Lepisosteus oculatus: one gene and its partners. The protein of the gene in region 1 binds, or shares a complex with, the protein of each later gene. Links are inferred from orthologs where the notes say so. Each region holds a gene or a part of one and is shown in the gene's direction. Other genes may lie near its edges.

The links.
Region 2: the proteins of ap2b1 (region 1) and beta-arrestin-1 are in contact, whole or in part, in a crystal structure (PDB 2IV8), measured with the Homo sapiens proteins. The link is inferred for Lepisosteus oculatus from reciprocal best matches to the Homo sapiens genes AP2B1 and ARRB1. Residues at the interface, in NP_001273.1 of Homo sapiens: Arg834, Gln835, Phe837, Leu838, Trp841, Lys842, Asn846, Glu849, Ile876, Ala877, Arg879, Val881, Glu882, Gln884, Tyr888, Glu902, Arg904; in NP_004032.2 of Homo sapiens: Asp384, Asp385, Val387, Phe388, Glu389, Phe391, Ala392, Arg393, Arg395, Leu396.
Region 3: the proteins of ap2b1 (region 1) and ldlrap1b are in contact, whole or in part, in a crystal structure (PDB 2G30), measured with the Homo sapiens proteins. The link is inferred for Lepisosteus oculatus from reciprocal best matches to the Homo sapiens genes AP2B1 and LDLRAP1. Residues at the interface, in NP_001273.1 of Homo sapiens: Arg834, Gln835, Phe837, Leu838, Trp841, Glu849, Gln851, Ile876, Ala877, Arg879, Val881, Glu882, Gln884, Met886, Tyr888, Glu902, Arg904, Ser915; in NP_056442.2 of Homo sapiens: Asp253, Leu255, Asp256, Ala258, Phe259, Ser260, Leu262, Ala263, Gln264, Arg266, Thr267.

Annotation. Positions count from the first base shown.
Region 1 is NC_090721.1:1,320,150-1,327,100, reverse strand, and holds the start of ap2b1 (AP-2 complex subunit beta), read left to right. Parts: upstream 1-3,909; 5' UTR 3,910-4,064; intron 4,065-5,142; 5' UTR 5,143-5,163; coding exon 5,164-5,200; intron 5,201-6,880; coding exon 6,881-6,951. Other genes in the region: pex12 (peroxisome assembly protein 12), read right to left, coding at 852-1,239, 2,036-2,577, 3,441-3,569. UniProt on the Homo sapiens protein: Component of the adaptor protein complex 2 (AP-2). Adaptor protein complexes function in protein transport via transport vesicles in different membrane traffic pathways.
Region 2 is NC_090700.1:2,564,703-2,572,365, reverse strand, and holds the start of beta-arrestin-1, read left to right. Parts: upstream 1-4,662; 5' UTR 4,663-5,195; coding exon 5,196-5,215; intron 5,216-7,663. UniProt on the Homo sapiens protein: Functions in regulating agonist-mediated G-protein coupled receptor (GPCR) signaling by mediating both receptor desensitization and resensitization processes.
Region 3 is NC_090706.1:3,839,289-3,846,766, reverse strand, and holds the start of ldlrap1b (low density lipoprotein receptor adapter protein 1b), read left to right. Parts: upstream 1-4,382; 5' UTR 4,383-4,623; coding exon 4,624-4,708; intron 4,709-7,478. UniProt on the Homo sapiens protein: Adapter protein (clathrin-associated sorting protein (CLASP)) required for efficient endocytosis of the LDL receptor (LDLR) in polarized cells such as hepatocytes and lymphocytes, but not in non-polarized cells (fibroblasts).

The DNA of each region.
Region 1 (6,951 bases):
GTTCAGATGTACAAGTTCTGCTTCACGGTGTAATGGGGAATAAAACTGTAACTACTACCTATTTTCCCCTTTTTCATTCATTCAAAGGAGTGGTGTCCTATAGAATATGGGGGTTTTTGTTTCCTCCCATCTCTTTGAACTCTAATCCCACCACTGGAAGCTGTGTGAGTTTAGACCTGTCCTTGTCCTGGGTGAAAGGGTAGGGGGGGTCTTGCCAGTGGGGCTGATTCTACAACAAAGCCTAGGGGGGAAAGGGGGTGGAAGTGCAAAACTAGGGAAGTAATCCTTATTTGCACAAAGTTTGCATAGGCTAGCTTAAATACTCCCTGCTCCTGTTCACCTAGTCCCTTCACAAGGGCACCTGTGTAGCTCTCTGGTAGGCCTCTAAGGGGAACCAACAAGTGAAATGCTTTCCTATTGACAATGAGCCCTTGCCTCCCTTAATTACAGAATACTCTCAAACTTTAATAGCATTATATTAACCATTTACTGCAGGTTGAAACTTTTTTTTTACCAGCAATTATTTGACAAAGACGTACACTGAAGTATCCACAGACTTGTACGGTGCTCTTCAGCTACAGTGTAGGAACCATGACATGATGGGAGATGAGAATGGATGTGTATAGCTTTCTTATTAGTCTGGCACAGGCCTGGGTACCCCGTGGCAATCTGCCGTCCTTTATGACCAGTTTAAATTTACCAAAGCTACTGGGAAAAGCGCTTTCTTGTTACATTAGAATTTGTGCCTCAGAAACGAAGCTGCCAGGCTCCATTTTCATCACACGTCGATTTGGCTGTCTGCCCTGTTGCTATGTCCCTGTGAAGTATTTGACTGACGCTTCTCCAGCGGTCTACCCTTCGGGGCAGTAGAGCTTGATCAGGTGCTGCAGTTCAGTAGGGTACCCGGTCAGCGGGCAGCGCTGGTGGGCCTTCACGTAGGCGAAAGCACAGCGGTAGCAGAAGACGTAGCCGGAGGTGGCCAGCGCGGTGTCGTTGGTGCGGGCTTTGCGGCACAGAGGACACTCGCTCTTGCCCACAGGAAGTTCTGGCTGATCCAGGTGCAGAGGAGGGGGAGGGGTGGGCAGGGAGGTCAGGGCCTTGATGGTGCCCTGGTTCTCCGAGGAATACCACCAGTCCAGGAACTGCAGGAAGAAGACCCCGACGGACAGCCCGGTGGAGATGGACACGGCCACCCCCCCCACCGCGGTGCTGAGGAAATGGCGCAGCTTCTCCCCAGCACTAGGAAAGGAAAACGAAATGAAGTTATTACTGCGGGGCCTCGTTTAAGCGCTGACCTGTTCCGCAGGGAATTCTTTTTTCCGGAGCGGGATTGGTTATATCCACCAACCCCTTCTTTTCTAACCGCTTCATCCAAGTCAGGTCGGCAGGAGAACCGGAGCCGAGCCCAGCAAGCAACAGCCACGAGGCAGGCCACACCCTGGAAGGGACGCCAGTCCATTGTGGGGCACGCACACACTCACACCAGGCCACTTTTCCCCTAGAGGCCAGTTAACCTACCAGTAAGTCTTTGGACCATGGGAGGAAACCCACATAGACTGCACCCCAGGTCTGGAATTGAACGCAGGGCCTCGGCACCGGTGTTAAACTCTGCACCACACTGCCAGTCTGGGCGTGCTAACATTTCCACAAACGCGTCCAAACTGAACTTCTGAAGTGCGCAGGGATCATGCAGCGAAGACTTGCCTCGACACTTCTGCTCACTCTTGAAATGTTTACTGGGTATAAATGAATAATTCCCTGCAGGCACATAGTGGGTATTTTAGACAGCTTTGATAACATTTTTTTTGTACCCTGGCACTAAGCTTTCCAGGACACGAATGCCCTATTAACTTTGGTGAAGCACTCATGGCACGATGCAGAAAAGATGCGCAGTTGTCCAGTTTTGTGCTGTCACGGATTCCTCTAGACTGGATCTGCACCAGTGCACAGCCGGCCCTCTCGGCACTGGGGCAAAGCCAGGAGAGGACAGCAGGGCCCCGGGAGGACCTCTGCGAGATGTAGGATCGGTGCGCACCTGAGAGGGGAGGCGGAGGTGGACGCCGCTGTGGGCTTGAGGTCCAGGGCTCGGATGTCTTGGGCCGTGAGCCGGGCCAGCCGGACCCCGGCCAGCCGCAGCAGGGGGGAGTGGTGCCGCGCGCGGCCGAAGACGTAGAGCAGCTGCTGGCAGAAGACCCAGCCCTCCCACGCCATGCTGCAGAAGGGCCAGGCGGCCAGGAAGGCCCTGCAGAGCCGGCCGCAGGCCGAGCGCGGCACGCGGATGGAGAAGTCGTCCTCCTCCCTCAGCCGGCCCAGGAGCCCCTCCAGCTTGGCCCGCAGGTACGGCAGCAGCGCCAGCAGCAGCAGGGAGCGCCAGCGCTGCCGCCGGGGCAGGCCCAGGCTGGCCAGCCGCCCGCCGGCCCCGGGGGGCACGCGCTTCAGGCTGTAGAAGTTCTCGGAGAACGAGGCGCTGGTCCGGGACAGGAAGTGGTGCTGCAGCAGCAGGTCCAGGGCGGTGTAGATCTCGTCGAACCAGCGCCACAGGCCGCCGTACCGGGCCGGGCTGGACTCCGCCAGCACCTGGAGGAGGAACGGGACTCGGATCACTCGGTGCAGGGAAGCTCAAGCAGGTGCGCCCACCCCCGCCCCTCGTCCCCAGTGGACATCCAGAACTTCCACACAGGCAAGAGGGACAGTACAGCAGAACTCCACACGTTTCCTCTCTGGGGCACTGTAAGAATAATGGGCGATTGTGGATTAATCCAGCCCATCATTTTCTCATCGCTTTATCCAAAGCGGGGTGGCAGGGGAGCCAGAGCCTATCCCAGCAAGCAACAGGTGCAAGGCAAGGTACACCCTGGACGGGACGCCAGTCCATGCCAGGGTAGACAGCCACTCACACTAGCGCCAGTTTTTCCCTACCCCTCTCTGTTTGGACTGTGGGGGAAAGCCAGAGCCTCTGGAAGACACCCACATAAACATGGGGAGAACATGCAAACTCCACACAGACAGCACCCCAGGTCCTGAATTGAACCCAGAGCACCAGCGCTGTGAGGCGGTAATGCTGAGCGCTGTGCCACCGTGCCTCCCCCTGGTTGATTAATTTCAAAGCCTATTAATCATGTTCAAGAATGCAGTTCTGTCTCTGTTCAGTTTATTTTTCCTGTCTTTATCGGAGAGGGATAGTAAAAACCTGTGTATGATCATGGCCTCAAGAGGCTAGAAATGCTGGAGGCAAGTCTGTTTTGCAAGGTAAATGTCACAGAACCCTCTTAGGAAAACAAAACGTGTTTCAGTTAAGTGGGTCCTTACATTTAGTCATTAACCTTTGCATTCACGCTTCTAATAAATTTCAGCTTTATGAGCATTTTATGAACAAATTGCAGAAGGCGCAGAAGCAACACCAGATGCTGTAGCAGGAAATGAATGAGCTGGTTCACCACCTTTACTGCGTGCTGCAAGGCTGGTCTGACCGAGGCCATGAGCGAGTCCTGGGCGAGCACCTCGAAGATAGAGGGCCTGTCGTCCCGCTCCAGCGAGGCCGAGCTGAGGTGGGCTCCGCGCTCGGCCATAGCGCCGAGGTGCCCTTGATCTCTGCAGGCGGAGTGCTGAAATCCCAGATGGGCACAACTAACATGAATTAAAAAAAAAAAAGGTCGATAACCTGTCCTTGTGGTTTGTTGTTGATGTTCTTGGTTAGGCGCAACAATGATCACTGCGCATCCCCAGTAGTTAAAACAGTTCCCCTCAAAACAAACTGGATTAATAAGAGGCTTTCAGACAAACTAACTCCTCTTTGCAGCTCGCAAATCTCCCCACCCTCGCTGAGCCTCCAGATGTTTTGCTGTCCGCCTCTTAAATCGTTCGGTCGGCTCCTTCCGGAATCCCTGCTGGCTCCTTCCGGCGTCTCTCCCCTCCTCCTCCGCCTCTCGTCTTGTTTTTCCGGGAGTGCGGTTTCTCTCCCTGTGTGTGTGTCTCTCTCTCTCGCCCTTGGTCCGTGATACCAGCATCTTGCTTCCTCTGTCACCTCTTCGCTCGGCTCTTCTGTTCGCCATCACCCAGAGCAGGTGAGCGTCGCGTCCCCGTCTCCTCGGTACCGGCGGGGAGGCCCAGTCCACCGCACCGTTTTTTCCCGGACAGGCAGATGCGGGAGCCGGGTCACACCCAAGCCGGGCTGCGCAGTCCAGGGCTCTCCGGCATTTGCTGGAAAAGCGGACATGCAATAAGAACTGAGAAAATTAAATAAACATTTCTGGCGTCCTTCCTTGAGCTTGATCCACATTTCCATACATGTAATTCACAGGCGTCGGTTGATAAGGTCAAGCCTAAATGCAGCGCTCGACAAGGGAGACCGATAGCGATTGCGTATTAATTTTAATTGACTATAAAATCTCGATTTTGACTTTGAACTGTAATACTTTCTGAATAGGCTGGGCGTTTTTTTTCCCCCGTAAAGGCCTTACTGAGAATGTGCATTATTGCCACACCGCCTATTTAAATCCAGTGTGTTGTAGTTGTTTTAGGCATCCCTAACCAGACCCGTTAACTGGTTTTCTCCGACTGGTACAGCTGTTCTAGTTGGTTTAAGACTACAGTCGGTTATTTGTATACTTCTAGACAGTAACCAGAACAGTTTGTACTCTCGTGAGTCTGAGGTCTTAATTGCGGGAGTATTGAAGTGGTTCCTCTCAGGAATATGTTGAAGGAATAAATATATTTTAACAGTTCAACATTTTCAGATTAATATACCATTGTTTATATTTAAAATAGCAATGTTTGTTACAGGTTTTTAGTTTAAATCCCTTAGATTAAGGATAATATTGTTTTTCTGGGCTGAAAGATTTCCTTCAAGGTGAAAAATTATATCCTTCAGTGAACTCGGTGAAGTGGTTCACTCCATAGGTCAGTTCGATGCCAACACAAATTCCAATGTCTGAGCTGTAAATGTACTGTATAGTGTTATGATTCAGGTATTTCCTTATATGGGACTGGAAATGAAAATTTTCCAGTATTTGTAACATTATCAGTGTATTTTTGCTTATGTCTGTCCCAGAGAAAACATACAGTAAGCTCTTCTAAATCCAGCATACACCGGTGTTTCTCTGCAAAGTAACGTACTCTGTGTTCCATTTTTCCTTTTCGCAGCTGTTCTGAAGAACTGCAGTCATGACGGATTCGAAGTACTTCACCACAAACAAGAAAGGTGAGTCTTCTCGGGGGAGTGTTTGAGTTTGATGGATGACACGAGATGGTCTATTTATTTTACTCCGTCTCAGATTGGAACTTTGCCTTTGCAGGTAAAAGATATGATACGTTTACAGCATATATTTAACACAACATGAACCCATTGACAAATAAGGTACATGTACGATGAGAAAGTATTATAAATAAAGTGAAATTCATAATCAGTTGTCCAAATGATAACTGTCCGGTTGATAGCTGTAGGAGCAAAAGATGACTTAGTTCTATTGCTCTTGAATCCAGACAGTCTAAATCGACACCCAGATGGAAGGAGTTCAGATTCACTGAGCAAGGGGTCATGACAGTCAGTGATTATATTGGCCTTCTGCACTACTTGTCTGATTAAGATGTCTGACAGCTGTAGCTGTTGTGTACTGACAACTTTGCTGGCTGCCTTCACTGTCCCGCTCAGTGTGTTTTTGTTGCATGTATTCAGGTTACTAAACCAGGCTACTGCAGTGAACGACAGGACAGATTCAATGAAAGTTCTATAGAATAAAGTCACTGTTCTACTACAGACATTAAAATAGTGGAATTGTTTTAGGATAACGGTTGCTGTTGGATTTTCTTACATAGGGCATCTGTGTTTTCCTCGGTATATTTGTAAATGTTCACAATATCGATCTTGGACTGTTGGGTTTGCAGCTGGTGGTTGCTTTCTGAAATTGACGATCATGTCTTTGCTTTAAATATATATAATACTGATTGTTTTGCTATGAAGTTGGGCTAATGTCAGGACTGGACTCTAGAAACAGACCAGAACATTTGAAAGAGAGTAGCTCACCAGGTGTACGGAAAGAGATCACACAACAGGCCTGGGCAGCCTTGGTCTCGGAGAGCTACAATCCCACAGTTTTTATGGGCCTGCCTCAAATCATCTAGCCTCCCTCAAACACTTTGAGCACTTTCATTTTGACCACTGACACAGCTGATTTGTAGTAGTTTAGTGATCATTTCTCTAATGAAGATACCAACTTCCCCTCCCCGTAGCTATAAGGGATCGTATTTTGCCATTTCTGGCATAAAGGGACCAAATCAGTTATAGCGATCAAAATGCCAGGTGCTTACAAACTGAACGTATAAGTATGACCTGTAAGACCTGTGAAACTGCAGCTCCAGGACAAGATTTGGCCTCCTCTGTGTTAAGAGCTCAGTGGTGATATGAGTGCATAGTGTGTTATTATTATAGTGTATGAATGTATTTATGTAGGTCTATGCACTTGTAGCTCCTCGGTCCCGGCAACATGTTAACATGTTAGAAGGTTCTGCAGTTCCAAATCACGAGGTTGTTGGTGTAGAAGTGAGGATTTTGATGTTTATGGGGTTATTTTGTTTGTGTTTTAAGAATGGATTTCTATAGGTTTCAACACTAAAACATCAGTGGGATCTGCTGTGAGTGATGGAGCAGTGAGCAAGACTCCGGTTAGCATTGCTGCCTCACTGGCTTCAGTTTCAGACCTGGGGTGCTGTCTGTGTGGAGTTTGTATGTCCCCCCTGTGTTTGAACCCGTTGCTTTGCCAGGAGAGATCCTGGCCCCCCTGCGACCCCGAGCTGGGAGAAGTGGTTAGACAATGGATGGATTAGTTACTGGAGCTGAGAGGGCAGTGCGCTGTGCTGACGCCGTGCTTTTCTCCCGTTTCAGGGGAGATCTTTGAGCTGAAGGCAGAGCTGAACAATGAGAAGAAGGAGAAGAGGAAAGAGGCAGTGAAGAAG
Region 2 (7,663 bases), on another chromosome or scaffold:
AATATAGATGTTTGCTTGCTAATACTTCAGTAAAGTTACTGAAAAAAACCTACAGATTTAGGTTTCTTTAATATTATCAATATTTTGTTTTTATATTGTTTTTTTTTCATTTTTTTACTTGGTTCCATTTAAGCCATGGGTATCAAAGATGTATACTTATAAACAAGATATATTACAGCGATTCAAGTAGAGAGCTGCCTCAGCATGTGTAAGCTGCAAAGGAACAAGTAAAGGTTTATTCCATGCTGAAAAGAGAAGAAAAAAAACAATGTTTCGGCTGTGGAGCCTTCTTCAGTGAACTTTTTCCTTTGCATATTACAGTGATTACAATTATATATGATTGTATCTTGAAAACTACCCCTATCAGCCATAATGTGAATATTGTTATGTTTTACATGAATCCATTGATATTTCTGTAAAAACTAAAACTACACAAGAGAGCAAAACTACATTATAGGAATGTTTCTTTGTTTTTGTAGCATAAAGGTTAGATATTAATGTTTCTGATATCTTGAATTTTAATACACTTTGTTAAAAACAAAAACTCTTTTTTAAGAATTGTTGTTCTTGCATCATGGTACCCTAAATGTTAAAAACATATTCAGTTGGGAATATTTATCATTTATTGTAACATCCTTGCAAAACATTGCTGAGCACTACACCAGACAAAGAAGGATTGTTACTTGTAGATTGTATATAATATCATTATCATGCCTGACTGCACTCCAGCATGCTGAATATCTTTAATGGCTCTGAAAAGGGTAATTAACATAACTGAAAAGCTCCAGCACTTTTGTGGTACAGCCCTGTGCCCAACAGGAAAGCCACACATCCATTTAGCGATTTTGTATTTTGTTATTTTGTAGATCTTCAACCTATAAACAAGTTTTCTTTGCTTCTGGATGGGGGCAAGTCGTACCACACAGAGCATTTTTTAAGAATTTGCAATAAAGTGCAAAGACGAAACCACAATCACACTTCAGAGATAGAGGGTGTTTTACAAATCCAGTAAACTGAGGCACATGTAGGACAGGAAATGTTACCTTAATTGTTTTATAAAGAAAATAAACTGAAAACCAGCTTTATACTAAAGGTTTCTGCTGTTCCTGAGAACTCCCAAACGGGTTCTCAGTATCATGATTACTTCTGTGGTTGACGGACTGGGGCCGCGCTGTCTGTCGTTAAAAGAATCCTCTCAAACATGTTGACACACATGAGAGCGATTTTCCTCAACCAGCAGACTGCAAGTAGCCACCAGGATTTGAAGGGAATCTTTCCTGAGCAGATGGGCTGCACTCTGAAATGATACTGAGACGAGCAAATCAGCCCTTAAAAGTAGAGAGGACTCCGAGGAAAGAATGAATAACAGGAACCAAAACTTGTACTACAGCTCTGCCGAAGAACGAACTCAACTGTGAGTGCCAGGGCCTCTCGTGTGCATCGCCACGTCTGTGGTGCTCACTGCACAGTCCCATTAGAGACTGTCACTGTTGACACTCCCGAAACTCAGACCTGCCTTTTGCATATGTTGTGTGCTATTGCACAGAGGTTTCAGTTTGAAGAAAAAGGGTTATAAATAAAATTATATTATCATGAACTGTCCATTGTTCATGCTGCTACTGCTGCCTTTTCATTCTCTGAATTTATTGCTGATATTTTGTTAAAATTACAGCTTGGTTTTATAGTGTATGAGGTACAAGGGCATTTGAAAAAGATTATTCTGCAAAGGAAGCATTATACTGCGATTATTTTGATATTAATTAGGCAGCACACCTATTTGCACTTTCTTCTTTATGTTTGTTTCTTTAGTAAATAAAGACCATAGGATATAATCTGTATCTTGTTGACACGCAATAAAGACCATGATTGCTCTAAGATGTTGTATTTCATAAAAAAATTGTTTTTGTTTTTAAAGTGAATGACCCATTATAGTGTCAAAAACGAGTCTCAATTTTTTTTACCAGAGTGTATCTGAGATATGATTTTGTTAATACTGGGAATCATTTACAGAGCAAGAATTTTTCTTTGTTGGCTTAATACGTAGAGAAAGGATTATAATTTTTAAACACAGTACTTGGATGTTGACCTGAAAGTCATCTTGTCATTGATCTGTATCTCACTGTCTCCCACTGTAGGCATTTAAAATGAAAGACTTCAGCTTGCTTTCTTGTTAAATTGATAAAAGATAAAAATCTTTTCTCCCCAGTGTAATAATCTTGGCCTTTCTGACTGCAGATGTCAATATGCATCTTTTGTGACTGCTTTTCCTTGACGATTAAAAACAAACCTAGTATTCATAGCCATTTTCCCCACTTACATACTGTATGTAAATTACAGTTTTCTTGAACACACTGATCAATGTGTGGCTGTACATTCAAAGCTAAATCTGTTAAGTCAAATATACCTGCTGATAAAAACGTAAGGAGGTTGTGACATCAGGTAAATATACTCCAGATGTTTTAAAGATAACAACTGATGCTGATATCTGGAGGTCAATGACAACGCCACCTGTGTCAATCTGTTTTGATTATTGTGCAGTTCTGGGTCTTTAAAATCTCTCTTATGATCAATATGTGAGAGCTGATATTCATTGCTCTACAACTGTGGAAAAGCATCTGGAGTAACAGGTTTTTTAACTGAACTGGGCAGGGCAGTGAGCTATGACTTACTGTACTGTTACATTTCTAAAAACACCTGTTGCAAGTGATGTGAAAGTCTACGATTATTAGGATAGTGAAAATATATAATTATTAAAAATATACAAAGAGAATTGAATATATGCTCTGGGATGTTATATTGTATTGTATATGGAGGACAAATCTGGATTTAAGTTTGGGAGACACAAAGCCCAATATTCCAATGCACACTTGACCACTGGGAATTTCAATGACCTGCTAAGATTAAAATGTAATCTGAATGCCAAAAAGAAAGCATGGCTCACAGTTTCACCCTTTGATGAAAGGGGATTGAGCCAACACTTGAAATGTAGAGCTACCTGTGAACAGAGAATTGCCACGCAACAGATGAGTTTTGGAAGCTTTTTATGAATTTTGTGTGGCATAATCTAATTGCAAATGAGAAAAGATGCTGTTTGCGTGGAAATCATATTTATAAATTATGTTATGGTTTACTGTAGGATCTAGATGTGAGGCTGAAAAAAGAAGTATTAAGGAAAATGTGGCACTTCTTAAGGCTTCCTAGCTTATGACAATGCTGGTGTACATTTTAACGTGAGTGGGTCATATTCTATGTGTCATACAATGCTGTAGCACTTTTTTTGTGCTTGCCTAGGGCGTTTTGAAAAACTCTCTACACAGTACATTCACTGCTGCAAAAATCCAAGGTCAAAGTCTTTGTCATTGACTGAAAATGAGTGCTGAGAAAGAAATGACAACTTACGGAACACAAAACCTGTGTTTGACAGCTTTGTTTGCTGGAATTAGTGAAAATATTGATTGCTCAAGAAGGCACTGTCTTTACGGTAGAAAAGCTGCTTTGCACGCTGACAATAGTTCTGTGTGGGTTGCTGCTCTGTGAAGGTTGGTGCACAAGAAAAAAAGATACTCAATTAAATTGAATGTTTTGTGCTTGTTTTTTTCCCCCACAGGGTTTTGAATATTAAATTAAAATAAATATAAAACGATGGATCTGCACTAGATAATAGAGTAAAATTATATTTGGCATGGTACTGTGTTTAGTTTTATAAACCAATTGTATCAAATGGGTATCTTTTCATTATCTGTGTCATGCCTACATCACATGAATTCATAATCTATATTAGATAACTGTGACTTGTTGCATTGAACTTATGGATAGCTCACACCCCCCCCCCCCCCCACACACACACACACACACACATTCCTATATGATGCATCAATACATGAAGTTAAATTTCTGCTAAATTCAAGCATTTATGTATCTGTAACCATGGACCATAGAACACACAGCAATTGTGATGTTTGAGTGATGAACCAGACACATTACATGGCCTCCAAGGGGTGTTCATGGCAGCCCCATTCATTCTTTCTCCACAGTGTAAGGTCCTTGGTCCGTATGCATTTGATACTTTAATCCAGAGTGACCTTCTGTTCCTTAGCCTATACAGTAGCTTGCTGCCTTTTTTCTTTGCTGTTTGTTTAAAGAAATTACACTTAAAACTGATACGGTTTAATCAGACTCAATCGGAGAAATCAAACTTTAATTTAATCTCGTCTTTGAATAGCTGTCTTACTGCTGGTAATCATGGTCATGGTGAAAACCATGATATTCAGCCTGTAAAGGTTTGTGCTATGCGATTCCCCTGGTGTGCTATGCGCTAGTCAATTAACATATTTCTCACAGAGGTTTGCAAACTATGCATATGATGTGTATCATCTTCCATGACATTATCCCCTACATCCTCAAGGTGACTTGCAGTCATGCAGTCTGTTTGGCACACTATCAATTGAAATGACAGAGATAGGTGAGCCCAATTTATTGTTGGAGAGATGCACTGTGACACAACAGACCATGGATTTAATACAATGGTGTGAATATCAAAACTCAAGTTAATCCCATCCAGCACTTTTCCTTCACTGACCTGCAGTCAGGTCAGCATGTGACTGCTGTATTTTTTTTTTTTGCTGCCTTTCCTCAGCATTGTAGTTTTAAGCTGAGCAAGGGAGGCTGTGGCTTGAATGAGAGGGATGTTTCATCCTGACCGGCACACACGCAGACACCACACACACACACACAGATTGAGTGAGAGAGGGAGGGATACAGAGCAGCAGAGAAAGGGAGGCAAAGAGCTAGAACGGAACTCTGATGGAGGATTCACATTAATAAGAGTAATCTGGAGGATTCTGGCTGCACAGAAGCTTTAATCTGCGTATCTGGATTTACACTGCAATTCAACAATACTAGCCATATATACTAGACGAAGGGGAGCAAGAGGAAGATCAAGAGGAAATTCTAACAATTTATATTTTAAAAGAACAACAGGGACGCTGTTTAATTTCATTCACAGGGAGAGGAGTGTTAACAGCACAAAAAAGCAGTTTAACAGGAGCTCCACTTGCATTTACGTGCACATTCTAAGTGGCTGCCTAAACATAAGCAAGACCTCTTGCATCCTTTTCCGTATAGCAGACTAGTCTCCTCCTTGAACATTGGAACTAAGACTGAAGGCTGCTCTCAGCAACACAGCAAGCCTGACAATGGGCGATAAAGGTACAAGGTAAGGATTTCTTTGACATGGGTCGTATTTATTATTCATGTATTCTATTGGGCTTTAGTTCATATGTGGTTTTCTATGTATAGTAGCGTACATTCATATAACATATGCCAAATTAAATCCTTTGATGTCGTAATTGTGTTGTTCTTGATGCAGTCTTTTGTTTGTCAGCCTAAGGCAGTATAAGTTTTTGTCCCCCCTCTCCTTGCATGAACGTTGAATGATGTATCACTCTGCAAGCATGCAGTAAGACGTGTTAGTCTGCTCACACCCTCATTATGGGTCTGTGTGACTGTAAGTGCTCATGCTTGCTGGCTTGCTGCGTATTTTTATGGAACCTCATAAAGGACCATCAGTATTGGAATAATAAGCCTTGATAGAGCTCCGCCAGCAGGAGTGCACAACTAATCATGTATGTGCTAGATTTGCCAGGTTGTTATGGCACCACAATTAGCAGCTCATCAAGGGTCCGTCAGAAAACTGATACTTCACTATGTGTGTTCCTTTTAATGGATGCATTAAAAAGCTGATGCGGATACATAGGTATTTAAATTGGGTTTAACTATCTTTTCAAAGTTTGGACGCCAGTGAGCATACTCTTATCAGTGACCTATATGATAATGTTCACATATCTTCATGTCTTTTCACACTGTAGGTTAACAACCATTGTGATCTAGTGAGATATTCTAAAATTAGGAACTTTTTTCTCTGGTACACAGATTTTGGCAGACACCCATCAGAACTGTTTGACATTCCCTTTGATATACTGGTCTCTCTGGAATCTAGGAGATACATCCTTCTAATGGGATTTAAGATAGTTTGAGGGTCTGTACTGTAGATCAGCTACGACACCAATAGGCCTAGATTTCAAGGATCATAGCATCATGTAATGTTTGTATCATGATCTCCCATTAGTAAGGCAAGCTTTTCTTAACTAAATTCCTTTAGAACTTGAACAACTTAAGGAATTAAAAGCAAAACATTCGATTTCAATGAGAAATTGCTCTGACTAGTGACTCAAAGTGATTTACAACTTTCATTGGAGACTCAAAATATGATTTACTGTACATAATTTCTCCTCTTTCTGAAGGAAAAAGGCATGCAAAGGGCAATTTGCTTGAAGCAGAATGCGTTTGCAATTTGCTTCTTTCTGGTTGGTTGCCCATCACTTGTTTCAGTCCAAGTTCTTGTTCTTGTGAGCTCAAAAGTAACTTGGAATACCGCTGTAGTCAAACACTGCATCTCAGCAAATGTTCCAGCCTTTCACCATTGATACAGCCCAGTTTTCAACACTTGTTTAAAGTGCCAAGAAATAGGTGTCTCTGGATAAATGCTTTGTTTCTCTATTTTATTTATTCCTTATTTTTATTTTGTTCTTATTCGTGATGCTGTGTGTGGTTTCACTCACTCAATCACTTCACTTTTAACAAATTGGAGGTATTTTAAAAGCCTTTAATCTAAGACATTGTGAGACATTTTGCCTGGAAATGCATTGCTCAAAAACGCTGCTTCATACCTAATGAAGTGAAGCTCATGTTTAGCCATCTTGAGTCTATTCCTCTTCAAATTATTGTTCATTCTTTTTCAATCAAACCCCTGATTAAATTGATTTTGTGTTTACAATGATGGCAAGGTTTGCAAAACTAAAGACATAATTTACAGACTGATCATATTTTGCCAAAAGCTCATTTAAATTACATGACACTATTCAGAAATTCTTGTCATAGAAGCAGATGCACAACAATTCTGGGAAAACCATTATGAACAATGTGTTCCAATAGCTACTATATTTTCACTGTTTGAGGGTTTTGATTAAGTTACATGACAAAAGTAAATGTTTCTTATTGCAGATGTTGTACAGCAAACATAACAGTTTTAACTTGTACTTATAGAATGTTATCTGTATTTTGCAAGAGTGATGATACACTTAAAGAGTCAAAAGATTTTGACTGCGGCCTTTTTTTGTATATTCCTGGTTGTTATATTCCTGTTTGCTCCATATGGACAGTGCTGTATACTGTACTGTACCTATATATAAAAAGAACTAAAAAGCAATACTTGCCCTTATCAAAATCTGATATTAGTATCAAGACAGATTCAACATACAGATGGGGCAAAGAAATGCAGAGAACTGAGAAATTGTCCCAACCTGAAGGAGTATTTGCACCAACGGCATTAGCAGTGTTTAGGCAGCAAGAAAGCCCTTTATTCACCATCTTCAGAAACAGGAAAGGAGTCAAAGTGGAGCAGCAAGCTTACCTAGGCTGACCCATATGTGAGGCAGAAGAAACACCTGTTTCCCTATATGTCTGATCCTTAGCTAGGCCTTTTTCCTCAAGAAAGAAATTAGGCAACAAGAAAGAAATTAAAACAGAAGAAAGGCTACAAACAACAGGAAACTCTTAGCTCATTTGGTTGCTGATTGCTCAAGATCCTATAGTATCAGATTCA
Region 3 (7,478 bases), on another chromosome or scaffold:
CAGAAGCATTGCACAAGCTGTGATTGTGAAAATCGACTCATGCTTGCAACAGTTTAAAAATTATATTTAAACTACACATGACAGTCATGTGTGTCCTTTAAATTAACATTTTTCTGTCTTATGCTTTGGGCTTAAAGGTTATATTGTGCCTCAGGGGAAAAAAAACGGCATCTCCACGATTGACTGTGTCCTTCTCCAGCTGGTTTTTTAATCCCGTTCAACTCATTGAGTTGTAAAGACCTGGAGGAATTTCACTTTGGACAGGTGGGAGAGTAACTGTGTTGAAGCCATTTGGAAATCATCTGGAATGAGAAAGCTCACGGCCAGGTCTACAGCCCTCAAGGACCAGAGATGACTTCCTGGCCTCTCCTCCCGGAACTGGAGCAATGAGCCTTTAACTTGGGTGCGGAAATGGAGGATGTGAGCAATGATTTTATGAGACTCGTGCTGGACTGTAGTTCTCCAGGGCCTGGATTGTGTGCGGCTGTCTGTCCACCAGTATAGTGAGTGTCCAGAGTTTGCTGGGGATTAATGAGTGGGATTACACTGTCTTCAGTTGAAAGTGGCAAGATTCGAGAGATGGGATCAAAGATCGAAGTCCAGGAAGCTCTTCAGGCCCCTAGCCAGAGGCTAATGATTTCTCAAATGGCTTCTTTCTACCGTTTGCCTGGAAAAGTGTTTCAAGATCGAAAGGTGTCTTTCCATAGACATTTTCCTGGAAACTAGTTTGTCTCATCCTTGATCCATTTAAACTGCAGGTCGCAGACAGAGCACTAGAAGGAGGAGATTTTGGAGATTGATCCCAGGCTGGAGTGTTGCTTAAACGAACAGGTTTCAGTATATAATTCACTTAAGAAAAAAAACAGGGGAACAAGTTATAGAGTGCTGAATTCATAAGGTGTGTAGTAATGTCAAAAAGGGATTCATGCCTGTCAGTCGGTACACACTATATAGTGGAAGCCTTGTGCAGGGGTTCAAGCCTGAGTTTTGTCACCCACTGTCCGTAGCCAGAGCTCTCTATAAGTGGAGGAGCAGAAGTGCCGGATCTCTGCCAAGGACAGGGCGGGATTAGTCTACCAGTGATGCGGTTTTGGATCTTGCCTGTTTTTGTGATAATCAAATAAAACCAATGAGATTTTTTTGCACAAATATATCAAGTAGTGGAGACATAGAGTTATTTTCAGTGGATAGCATAATGAAATGAGTAATAAATCCTTGAATTATGTGTGCTGTATAAACCAAATAACTGGGAAACATTAAGCACAAATGCCAAGACTGATCTGCAAACTGAGACACCCTGAAAGTATTGTCAGCAATTATGACACTAACAATGAAAACACAAATTTAAGGAATTAGGAAAGATATACAGTGGCCTGCACACAGTGCAGAGGTCATCAGGCTCTTGCTCATGAATGTTACAATGATGTTACAGCACACAAAGCCCCTCTGTGAACACCAGCCACGAATAATCGCGCACAAGGGATTCTGTGCGAACAGCCGGTACAGTTAAACCCTGAAAAAAGCCACAAACGAGCAAGAACAGACTCATCCCCTTCGAGATGAGAAAGGTGCCCCTCCTCCGGCAAACTCCCTCGGCAGCCCCACGGGAATCTTGAAAAGCCGGATTTTTGGAATTCCACGGACCTCGGTGTCAGCCCCCGGAATGCCTGCAAGCCGCTGCAGAGAGGGGTGACCAGTCAGACTCGTGGGAAGCTTCTCGTCTAGCAAGGCCTTGGGTGACTCTGCCTCAGCTGCAGCGGTGCGACACCAGACTGCCCCAGCACTGCACCAGAACTGACCGCGCTCTTATGTACTTGCAGACCAGAGCACGGGTTTCAGAAAAACCTCGGTCCACACCTCACTCACAAACTATTTAACTCGAGGCAAGACAGGAGTCTTTTGGCTCCCTCCCAGCAGAAGCTCCAACGATGCTGTCAGCTGTTTGGTTTGCAATCGCGCTGCTGATAGCTAGGTTGAAGTTTTGGCTTGCAGTCAGCCAAGGTCGAAACGCTTTATAGATTAATTGTCAGATCTCTGAAGAGGACAGGGAGGGATGAGTCTACCTGCGATGCCTTTGTGTAGCACCTTTCACCCCATAGCACCTGACACAGAGGTTAGCCCCATTACACAACAGATCAAGTGCAGAAGTGAGGAACCGCTTCAGTTATAAGCAAGAAATTGCTTGGGATACAATTTGGGAAGCCAGATTTTGCAAAGCCCAAAGTGGGATTGAACCAAGATGTCATTTTTAATAACAAGGAGGGGTCATGATGTGTACATACAGTACTGTAAACCGCAGAGTTCCACTGTAATTAGTGGGGAAAATACTATAAGCCATATGTAATGTTCTGTACTCTATTCTAAAACATCAGCGAGTTTCAATTCCCATTTGAAATCCAGACAGAAGTTTAATTCTGATGGAAACTCTACACTGTATGTAGGTTGTGATGTGTATTGCTTTTGCAGATTTTCAGAGGCATGTATTGAGTACAGCAGACTTCTACTGCACTGCCACAGACTGACACCTACAGTAGCTGAGCGAGACACACTTGAGATGAAAGAACAAACGACACGTGTTCTGTATCATTCCTGTGTTGAAACGGAGCTCCTGTCACAAGATTGGCTAGATGTTCCGCAAGTCGATTACACGATGTAGCTCCTTAGCAGCGGAAGATGTGCGTGGAGTGTTATTTAAGTAAAAACGCGTGGAATACAGGCTGGGGAAAAAGAAAGAGGCCCCTCTTTTTCCTACGGGTTGACTGACTCCAGCATCTGACATATATCTGATAGTTCTGGAGTTATGTGCATTATAGCTGGTATCTGTAAGAGAGGATCCGACTGCTTTAGAACTGATATACTATCTTGCAGTACTGCAGACCGCATTCTCCTAACAACAAGGGCGCACTGTAAGCTCTCTCACTCTCTTACAGATATCCAAGAAAAGCTGCTTGTTTTTCCGCGCAGCTTTTCAGAAAAAGTTAAAAACTATAACAAAACGTGCGTACAGTGGTTCTTCGCATTGCTTTATTTATAGTTTATGAAGGTCATTCAAAACTAGGTCTTCGTTTTTCATCATTTAAATTCCTGAAAGCGGCCGGGTCCCTCCCGGTTCGACAGGAGCGCCGCAGATGTCGCGCACTGTGGCGTAAATGATGTCCCGGCTGCCCTGATGCCTTGTGACAATCCGCTCCAGAGTCGGTGATTTGAAATCATTAGGATCCGCGTTTGATGTGCTGTAAAATAAAAACGCCCTGGCAGGGAAAAGAAGACTCCGTGAAGACGCCCGGTTGGTGGAGCAGTTGAGCGCGGTTAGGTTAGCGCAGACAGCTGATTTGGAGATGAACTAAGCGCCCCTTTTCTACGTGAAAAGATAATCATTATGTATTGTATATTCCATATTACATATTCAAATAAAAAAAATACATACAATTCAGAGTAAATAAAAATACAATGTTCTGCTGTAGGCTATATTTACTAACATTTAGGAAGCATTTGGGACACGCCAGCTTGAATTTTCTGTACAGTCCAGTTTTTTTTTCAAAAACATCCTGAAAGTTACAGCCCATGTTTCAAACTGAAAACAACAATGAGGTCACGTCAAATGGGATCCTCTGCTGTTTTGACGTACAACATACTTCTCTGTTCTCGGGGAACTGACTTGTCCAGAACCCAGTTTGTTTGGTGGTGTAGACGGTCCTACGTTTTGCTCATTTGAAAATAACATTAACCTTTCCTCCTGACCTCCGGCTGACTCGTCCTGTTCTGTCAGGCTGACACGCCTCCCAAACTTGAGAACCAAATTCCTAGTTGACAAGACAATCTTTAACACCCCACCAAAAAAAAAACAAAAAAAAAAACAACCAGTTATAGAGATGGCAAATAGTTTTATGTCGCAAAGCCATGACTGAAAAATAATTCATAGTTCTGCTAAGTGCTTCTTCGTAATTTACTATTTTTGCTCGGATTATTTAATGTTTACATTTAATCTGCACAGTAAGGGGTATAATAAGAGAGAGGTGAACTATTAATATTCTTGTTCTTAATTTCATCCGATTATATTCTTGGTTCGGCAGTCGATGAGTGAGATGTGACTGCTTTTCTGACTGTATATATAGATTTAAAAATGAACTAAGTCGATACAGCTTCGACATTCTGAGGAAGAGAGGTCGTGTTGTTGTTCCTGAAGTCTGAGTCACTCCAAGCGACGGACGGGGTGCCCTTTGTTTGTCTTTACTTGAACTGTAGGAAATGCGGCCTTGGTTTAATTTTAGCACACACAAAATCAGGGGAAAAGTCAGGTTTCCGCTACACGAGTTCACCTCGCCCGCTCGGCCCTCCCCTCCAAGCGACTCTCAGCCTCCGCTGCGCTTTAAAAAAAAAAAGGCACCACGTCAACGCCAAGTACATTATCCGCCCGATTTACATAAATAACACCGCCCATGTGGGGCGAAACGTGATAATCCATCGACTGTGGGGCTGGCTTCGGAAAAGGGAGGAAGAAAAAGGGAAGAAAAGTTTGGGACAGTGACTTTAACATCGCGGAGAGTGCAGGAGCTGCGGTGCCGTAGAACCCGGAGCTTCCCGGACTCTTTCTTCCCCTTTCTTTCTGTGGGTTTCACAAGCATGGATGCTTTGAAGTCCGCGGGTAGGGCCATCATACGGAGTCCGAGTCTGGCTAAACAGTCATGGGGAGTCGGCAAACACAAAAGTAAGTTTTTTTTTGTGTGCGTGTGGCGCTTTGCTTTGCTTTTGGGAATCCCTGCTACGTTGTTGCTAGCCGCGGGGAACGATACGTTGTATTCGTCTGCGTGTTCTTGTGTGCGTGTGTGTGTTTTGCTCTTGCCGGCGAAGGTTTAAAGACAAAACGCAGGCAGGGGCATACATGCTCATTAAAAACGCTGGTCTGTGAACTCCTCGGTTGTTAGGGCACGTTTCGGTCTGCAACGAGGCGAGGTGTTTTGGGGTCAGAAGTAAATCTGAATTGTTGGTGCAACTCTTGCAAAATCCGTGTGGCGGGGTGCCGCTTTGATAGTGACCGTAGAGCTGGGGGATATTTTTGTGATTGAATCCGCTGGCTCCCAGCCTGAAGCCGAAAGGGTTTTTTTTTTTTTTGCAAGCGTGGGTTCCCAGTGGTAGCTGAATTGCGGGCTCCTGAGCGTTTGTTCAGGTAGCAGTAAGCCCACGCCGTGCTGGGGGAGGTTCACTGATGACTCGGGTCGTCCCGTTAAAGTTGGTCGCCTCCGAGTCTGTGCTCCAGAAGCTAACGGTTAACCTTTTGTACACCATAAAAATAGGTACCTTGGCTACTTAAGGTTATCGAAAACCAAAACTACTAGCACGGAGAGATTTGCCAGTCTATCAGGCAGTTTGCTTTTTTTTTTTAGCCTACACTTTGACGTCTTCATAGCTGGGACGCGTATCATGAAGATTTACTCTTCTATCCTTTCTCATAAACCTTTGGCTGTCCATAAGTTGTTAGCATGGATACGATAATAAATTTCCCAATGGCTTTCACAGTCTTTAATTGCGCCTGTCGTAGGCAGTTGTTTGGCGAAGCCCAAGATTAGTTGCTAGCGGCATCTCGGGTGGGGGAGCGAGGGGAAAACAGTATCTGGGCATGAAATGGGATTCACGGAGACTGGGCTTGTGGAAGAATTGATGTGTGTTTGTATGCGTTGATTTTAAAGTACACAGCCCTTGTAGCGCTGCTGGAAGACGAATGTTTGTATTGGAAGACGCGCTGGGTAGCGGGTGCATGGAGACCAATTTTAAAGCCGCAAACATCGGAGACGCCTTCACCGAACCCAAAAGTTTATTGGCTATGGAGAGTTGACTCCAGCTCTTATATACGAGGCCTAGTCACAGCGCGATATTATCCCACGTGTGGTGTTTGATTTATGCTTTTCGGCAGGTGTGAAGGGTGAGGTGACGCCCTATCATTGCCGTATAGAAGCCTAGCAGAAATCATGCGCGAAAAGTGCGGCCTACGTCAGAGTTAGACGGAAAAGAAATGTGATGTTGAAGAAGAACAAATATAACTTGGATTGGGGAAAAATGGAATCCCTTTGCTGGAAACGGCACTGCATAAAATGCGTGGCGACTTTGGCTTTTGTCGAAGTTCAAGGTGGAGTTTAGCAGTTAACTTGTCACGTCTGACAAGCAGGACTCGTGTGGTCTTATATAGATATTCCTGCAGCGCGGGTGAAACATTTTGTAAGGTTTTCAAACGTTTACTTGTTTATTTTAACGTGAGGGGTTCGTGTTTCCCAGGGCAGGAAAGAGCGCACCAGTCATGGCACTGGGATGAGACATACTCGTATCGACTAACTTGGTAGGTGAAGGAGTAGGTGGAACTATTTCCCCATGCAATCTCGGACCAGAATTTCTAGACTATCGCCCCAGTATGGCAGTGTGATGAGGGGGAGACACTGCAGTAGGAGGTGCTACCCTTCATATTAAACTGAAGCTCTGACTTGAGTATTGGAACTGAAGCTCTCTTGGGCATTAAAGATCTCATGGCAGAGTTTGTAAAAGTAAGTTGTTAACCCTAGTGTCTGGGCTAAATTACATTTTGTTCTTGCATGGTCTGGCCTACCTGAAGTTCACCCTTAACTTTCTCACTGCTCCACCTGTTTTTGCTGTGTGTCACACAGGTGGGGCCACACATCGGTGCTGGCTGAAGTGGGTCCCCTCCTATATGTGAAGCACTTGGGGGGGAATTTGGGGATCTGCTTTTCTTCAGAATGGCTTTGTTTGCCAGCTGCATTACACCTGCAACGAATGTGCTGTACGGTTTTGATGTAAAAACATAGAAACGGTCAATAATACATATACGCTTCTTATTTAAAAACAATTAGCAGACAGGGGTGGCAGTGCTGGTGACCTTTTGACTGGATCTGCTGGTGAGTATAAGGAGAATAAGCTTAATTAGCTTAAGTCTTAATTTTAAACTATTTTGGCAGCAGAGGTACATGTGCAGTGCACTCGAGACCTGCTGGTAACAAGAGTGTAATGCGGTGTCTGTGTTTTTTGTACTGGAAGGGAAACAATGGTCACTGTCACATAGCTCAAGGTCCTGGTTCCTGATTGGTCCTGAGGACACTATTCTAATTAACATTCTTTAAGCTTCTTATTCTCCTAATTATGCCTACCCACAGTCAGACCTTTCACTAGGCAATTATCCTTTTTCATTAACCTTGTCTTAATGTGTGTCTTGTTTATCTTTATTGGAGATTGGTGTGCAGGGCTTCTCAGAACAACTACAATGGGGGGCAGCCTTTTCCTTGAGTCAAGGGCAGAGTGGACATGTGGCAAATGCAGAGATGATTTGGTCTTTGCCTTAATACATTGGCGAGGTTTTTATCCAGAGCAGTGTTCTTGAGCTTTATGCACAATCAAAGTAAATTGGGAACTAGTATCCGGGCAGGAGCCAATAATTGAAAAGGACAAAAAAAAGCATCTGTAGCAGTTCAAGAATG